2 linked regions of the Oryctolagus cuniculus genome follow. The protein of the gene in region 1 binds, or shares a complex with, the protein of each later gene. Links are inferred from orthologs where the notes say so. Each region holds a gene or a part of one and is shown in the gene's direction. Other genes may lie near its edges.

Region 1 (2,554 bases):
AGGTGTCAGGAGCTCAATCACGTGAGCCATCACGGCTGCCTTCCTGCATCTGCAGGGTGCTGAGTTAAGGAGCCAGTGGGTGTGGAATGAACTTAAGCACTCTGATACAATATGGGATGTAGGTGTCTTACTGCTAGGCCTAATGCCTGCTGCCACCCCCAAATCCTGTCCCCTGCCATAATTATGTATTTTGCCTTGAATAATTAACTGGTTCACTACTTATTATTTCACATGGCTTGAAAACATTTATGTTTAGTGCATCTGTTAGGTAGTAGGTCATGGTAATGGGAAGACTAGAAAGTTGTATACTTCTAGCAGTTTTGGGAAGTAAACAGCAAGCTGTGGGATATATGTTAAAATAAAATTGTATTTGGGATATGAGGAACTTGGTCTCAGAAGGGTTGATGGTTGAGCTTACTGTCTGAAATGGGAAAAGTTGATAACGAAAGGCATGGGGGTTTAAGGAATGGTGAGTCTTGAAAACTGATTATTCCCATTTGTTATTTTAGTATCCATATATTCCTGCACATATTACAAAGCCTAAGGAACATAAGAAGTTGTTTCTGGTTCAACTTCAAGAGAAAGGTAGGTTGTGTTTGAAATTACTTGTAGACTAATTTCAAGGTTACTTCTGTGTTTTAAACCACAAGCTTTGAATTTTTGGATTTATTGTAAAAACTAAAAGGACATTCTATGTTTATACAGAATTGCTTGCTTTCTCTTAGCTGTGCCAGTCCTGGTATGGAGGGAAATTAAAATTTAATCATGGCCTAAAATACCACTTCACATGTGAAATAAATTAGTGAAAAATTTAAGAAACTGATTTTTTTTTCATGCCATGTTTAGGACTGTTGCATGTTTTCACAGGTACTTATCCTGTTTCTTGTAATTTTTTTTAAAGATTTATTTATTTGAAAGAGTCACACAGAGAAGGAGAGGCAGAGAGAAAGAGAGAGAAAAAAAAGTCTTCCATCTGCCGGTTCACTCCCCGGTTGGCCGCAATGGCCAGAGCTGCGACAATCTGAAGCCAGGAGCTTCTTCTGGATCACTCACATGGGTGCAGGGGCCCAAGGACTGAACCTTCCTCTGCTGCTCTCTCAGGCCATAGCAGAGATCTATATCGAAAGTAGAACAGCCAGGATTCGAACCGGCACCCATATGGAATGCCGGCACTGCAGGCTTTACCCACCATGCCAGAACGCCAGCCCCCTCCTATAGTTTTATTATGGAATCCAAAATATAAACCCAGGGCTGTTCTCTTCTCTCCTTTCTTCCAGGGCCAACACTTAGAAGGTGCTAGTGGTAATAACATGGATCAGTTAGCTAACTAGTCAGTTTCATATGTCACTAAGAACACTAGCTTTACAGACAACCAAAATGTATTAATGAGAAGTATATTTCTTTACAACTTTTTTTTAGATCAAACTAATGATTAGCTTAAAATGAGACGGAGGTGGTGGTTGTATGTGAAATTGTAGAAAATGAACACTGTTTTGTTTGTTTTAGCCTTGTTTGCAGTCCCTAAAAATTACAAGCTGGTAGCTGCACCATTGTTTGAATTGTATGACAATGCACCAGGATATGGACCCATCATTTCTAGTCTCCCTCAGCTGTTGAGCAGGTATGGAAAGTTGAACATTTTGTGGTTCATCCATATAAGCTGTCAGATTGAAAATATTTTGAGCCACTTGAAAAGGGATACTTTGTGAATTTTGGTTCTTAAGGAAACTAAGATAAGCTAAGACTCTTGGGTCATGTGCAATACATAGATTAAATGTGACTGATTTAGAAGTATCCTCAGACTCTAAGCCATGGCTTGACATTCTATTATTTGTGTTACTGTTCTTCTACATCTGTTATTTTCTACAGTTAAGTTTGAAGTCTATTCAAAGAAGAGATGGTAACGTTATTCACAGCAGTGCGTAAAATATGAAGGGAGTTGTCTATATCAAAATGTGTAGAATTTTTTTTTAATATTTATTTATTTGAAAGGCAGAATTACAGAGATGTAGAGGCAGAGAGAGATCTTCCATCTGCTGTTTCACTTCCCAAATGGCCTCAACAGCTGGAGCTGGGCCAATCCAAAGCCAGGAGCCAGGAGCTTCTTCTGGGTCTCCCACATAGGTGCAGCGGCCCAAGCACTTGGGCCATCTTTCTTCCACTGCTTTCCCAGGCCATAGCAGGGAGCTAGATCAGAATTGGAGTAGCCAGGTCTCGAACAGGTGCCCATATGGGATGCTGGCACTGCAAGCTGTGGCTTTACCCTTTATGCCATGCCACCAGCCCCTAGAATTGAATGCCTTTGTATAATTTGGGCCTAAATTGGGGTGTCTGGGATAGGTCTTGGATTTTATATGGGATTTGAATTTTTAGGCAGATAGAATAATAAAAAATACATATTTTAAAAACTTTATATTTTGGGCTGGCTCCATGGCTCACTTGGCTAATCCTCTGCCTTTGGCGCCGGAATCCCATATGGGCGCCGGGTTCTAGTTCCAGTTGCTCCTCTTCCAGTCCAGCTCTCCGCTGTGGCCTGGGAAGGCAGTGGAAGATG
Region 2 (4,062 bases), on another chromosome or scaffold:
TTTCAAATAAATAAAATAAATCTTTTAAAAAAAGAGAGATTTAAGGACACACATAGGCTGAAAGAATAGAAATGAAATTCCACACAGCAGGGATGACCATACTTACATCAGACGAAACAGATTTAAGTCAAAATTGTCACATGACACAAAAGACATTAAACAAATATAATGTTCTAAATCAATTGTCCAGAAAGGTCTAACTATAACCAGATGCACCCAACCACATCAGAGCATCCAAATACACAAGCAAACAGAACTGAAGGAAGAAACAGAGAGCAATATAGTAATTTTAAAAATGGCCAGAACATCCAAACAGCAGGTCAATAAGGAAATAGAAGACTTAACAATACTACAGAGCAAAAGACCTAACAGATATATACCCTTCATCCTACCCAACACAAGCAAAACACACATTCCTCTCAAGAATACGTTCATTCTCCAGGATAGATCCCATATTTCATCACAAAACAAGTCTCAGCAAATTTAAGAAGGCTTAATGAAGCACACCAGATGATCTTTTCTAACCTCAATGGAATAAAACTCGAAATCAAAAGCAGAAAGAAAAATGAAAATTCACAAATACGTAGTATTAACACATTCCTTGAAAAATCAACGGGCCAAAGATGGAATCAAAAGGGAACTCAGAAGACGTCTTAAAACAAACACTAAAATCCAACATACAAGAAATTATGAGATGTAACAAAAGCAGTTCTAAGAGTGAAGTTTATGGTGGTAAATGCCTACATCAAAAAGCAATATAAAGAGGAGACTGTGAAATCAGGGTAGGCATTTAAAAGGACTTAAGAAACAGGCAGAGAGGGCGCTCAGAGGACAGAGGAGGACAGAAACGGGTGCCCTCGCGGACTGACTTTTCAGCCAGATACTACCAGGTGAGCACACAGCAGGCTCACCAAAGCAGGGAAGCGATCTGAATTTCTTCAGCAGCAGGATCGGCCTCTCCTTGGCCTCCCTTTGCCCTGGGCTACAGGACAGCTGAACGCTCCCGCTTGTCTCCATGACCCCAGAAAACGAAACTTAGTCCCTGATACTGCTGGCCCCCGGCCCCGGCCCCAGCCCCTGGAACCTCCGCGTTCCTCACCCGCGCCAAAGCCGGGAACGCAGGGACCACCGCCATTTTTCCCAACCCGCACCGGAAGTCCCCTCTGGACTACTTCCGGGAACTCCTGACGTCTGGACTAGCGAAGCTCAGCCGCCGCAGAATACTTGAGCCGGAAGATGCGTCCTTGCGTCTGGCGGAAGTGGCGCTGCGTGTGACGCCGCCGGCGGGGGGGCGGGACCTGGGGCGGAGAGCGGTTCGCGCGCTTCGGGCCTAGTCCGGACCTGCCGCCGCTGCCGCCATATTCCCGGTAACGGGGGCGCGCGGCCGGGGGCCGGCTGGGCCGGAAGAAGGGCCGGGACCGACGCTGAGGCGGGGAGGGGGTCGGTTGAGCTTAGGGCGGCCGGAGTCAGCGAGCGGAGGGAGGTGCGGGTCCTTGAGGGAGGGGCCAAGCGCGCCGGGCCGGGTCTGTGGGGAGGGAGTGGGACAGGCCTAGCCGGGGGCGAGGATTGGGCCGGGATGAGAGGCGGAGGCGGATGGAGCTCTGGGACCCAAAGGCGCTGAGGCCGGGGTCGCCTCGGGGCCTGGGCAGGTGCGGGCAGGCTGGGCCTGCGGGCATCGCCGCCGTGTTCTTCGCAGCCCTGCCCGAAGGCCCTTGGGAGCCGAGGCCTGGACTAGCCTGTCGCGCCACCGGCAGCTGCGGCGCCGACGCGGCGCCCCCCGCGCCGGGCCCGAGGGTGATGGGCAGCGCGCCCCGCGAGCCCGGGCGGCCTGGGAGAGCGGGGGGGCGGCGCGAGGCCGGGGGCGGGGCGGGGCGGGTGGGGCCGGGCTCGGGCGGCCGGGATGCTGCGTCTCTGGAGACGGGATGTGGGCAACCATCGCCCTGCGCTCGGGCCGGGCCCGTCGTGCCTTCTAATTGTTGCCCTCTTCTGACTACCACAGTGGCGTCTTTCTTACTTTGTCCATTCTCCGGGCTCGAGAGCTTCCTTCGGAGCCATGTCAGAAGGAGTGGACTTGATTGATATATACGCTGATGAGGAGTTCAACCAGGTGAGAGGGTGGCGGTGGTCCTTGGGAGCTTTGGGCTTTTCCTCGATCGGCCGAGGAATCATCTCCAGTAACTCGCACTGGTTTCACGATGTGCCAGTGCCAAGCTGTGCCAGTCCGAGTCTTGAACACAACTCTGGAGTCCGAAATTTTCCCCCTAGCGGAGACTTTAAAGGTTACTGAGTATTCTGCTTAATGTTAATTTGAACCTTCAGGCTTAATTTTGAAGGGTTTGATTTAAGAGCATATAAAAATCAACTGTAATAGAATGGTGAATCAACCTGTGGAACTTGCTCCCCAAGGAAGCAAAAGTTGGGTGGCAGTCTCCTCAAAGACTTAGCACACTTAAAAATCGGAATTATGTTTGCTGCGGGTTGGTGAGAACAATGTTGATAGCTGTTTGGTCTGGCAGACTAGCTGGAGAAGTGTCCTCTCCAGCATGAAGGTACGAAGGCACTGCACTTGAGATACTTTAACGTTCAGTTTTGCTCCATTGCAATTGCTTTTGAGTTGAGTCTTTTATAAGTAGCTTGACTCCGGTCTTGAGAAGTACATCGACATTTTAATGTAATAAATTTTGTGTATTGTTCTCGGGAGGAAAGGGTAAAGAACATTGGGCAAAGTAGCTAAAAAGCAGATGTAGACCCATTCACATATCCTAAGTTGGAAGTGATTGTCTCTTTATGTTTTCATTTCACCAGAGAATGTTGTATATTTTTCTTTTTTTTTTTTTTTTTTTTTTTGACAGGCAGAGTGGACAGTGAGAGAGAGAGACAGAGAGAGAAAGGTCTTCCTTTGCCGTTGGATCACCCTCCAATGGCCGCCGCTGCAGCCGGCGCACCGCGCTGATCCGATGGCAGGAGCCAGGAGCCAGGTGCTTTTCCTGGTCTCCCATGGGGTGCAGGGCCCAAGCACCTGGGCCATCCTCCACTGCACTCCCTGGCCATAGCAGAGAGCTGGCCTGGAAGAGGGGCAACCGGGACAGAATCCGGCGCCCCAACCAGGACTAGAACCCGGTGTGCCGGCGCCGCTAGGTGGAGGATTAGCCTATTGAGCCACGGCGCCGGCTCAGAATGTTGTATATTTTTAATAGCTGTTTTCCTACGTCCTTGTTAAACTGGCATCATCTACATATGACTACTTAAATACATGATGTTTTTCTAAGTTTGGACAAGTCAAATAATTATGGATCAAAGAGAAGAGTTTAGAATGTTCATTTAGTTACAAGACCATTGCTTTCCTGAGTTTTCGATGTCCTTTAACTCAGACTTTTACCAATTCTTTGTATGGGTTTTGTTTTTTTCCTTTTTTTTTTTCTTTTTCTTTTTTTTTTTTTAGAGATTTATTTGAAAGAGTTACACAGAGAGAGAGAGAGGGCTTCCATCTGATGATCTGATGGTTCACTCCCCAGTTGGCTGCAATGGCTGGAGTTGCGCCTATTTGATCTGAAGCCAGGAGCTTCTTCCAGTTCTCCCATGCGGTTGCAGGGGCCCAAGGACTTGGGCCATCTTCTGCTTTCCCAGGCCGTAACAGAGAGCTGGATTGGAAGTGGAGCAGCCAGGTCTTGAACCGGTGCCCATGTGGGATGCCGGTGCTTTAGGACAGGCTGTGAACCTGCTGCACCACAGCGCTGGCCCTGTGGGTTCTTTTGTTTTTCTTTACAAGATAACAGGAAAATAAAGCCCTCTAGTTCTTTTCTGTCTTTAATGAAACTTTTCTCTCTGTGTGTAATTCCTTATCTATGGACTGATAACAGTGGTACTGATTGACTTTGGGAAATAGGCAGAACAGGGTCCTTGATCACTAGCCACATTTGGTCTGAGGAAGTAAGATTTTAAGTTTTTAAACGATATTACTCATAGGTGAATACTGTCCAGTATTCACTGCTCTGTTAGGGTTGACATTGATCTTAGCAATTTGTTCTCTTTAATTTAAAAAGAACTTTAAAAAAAAAAATG

The links.
Region 2: the proteins of NUDT21 (region 1) and CPSF7 are in contact, whole or in part, in a crystal structure (PDB 3N9U), measured with the Homo sapiens proteins. The link is inferred for Oryctolagus cuniculus from reciprocal best matches to the Homo sapiens genes NUDT21 and CPSF7. Residues at the interface, in NP_008937.1 of Homo sapiens: Arg68, Asn152, Glu154, Pro156, Tyr158, Tyr160, Pro162, Ala163, His164, Ile165, Thr166, Lys167; in NP_001129512.1 of Homo sapiens: Trp91, Trp92, Thr93, Thr94, Asp95, Gln96, Glu112, Lys114, Phe115, Glu117, Asn118, Arg119, Ala120, Asn121, Gly122, Gln123, Ser124.

Annotation. Positions count from the first base shown.
Region 1 is NC_091449.1:40,190,295-40,192,848, reverse strand, and holds part of NUDT21 (cleavage and polyadenylation specificity factor subunit 5), read left to right. Parts: intron 1-509; coding exon 510-585; intron 586-1,506; coding exon 1,507-1,621; intron 1,622-2,554. UniProt on the Homo sapiens protein: Component of the cleavage factor Im (CFIm) complex that functions as an activator of the pre-mRNA 3'-end cleavage and polyadenylation processing required for the maturation of pre-mRNA into functional mRNAs.
Region 2 is NC_091432.1:10,750,318-10,754,379, forward strand, and holds the start of CPSF7 (cleavage and polyadenylation specificity factor subunit 7), read left to right. Parts: upstream 1-1,231; 5' UTR 1,232-1,367; exon of another isoform or gene 1,368-1,483; intron 1,484-1,503; exon of another isoform or gene 1,504-1,649; intron 1,650-1,999; 5' UTR 2,000-2,053; coding exon 2,054-2,107; intron 2,108-4,062. Other genes in the region: SDHAF2 (succinate dehydrogenase assembly factor 2, mitochondrial), read right to left, coding at 1,100-1,135.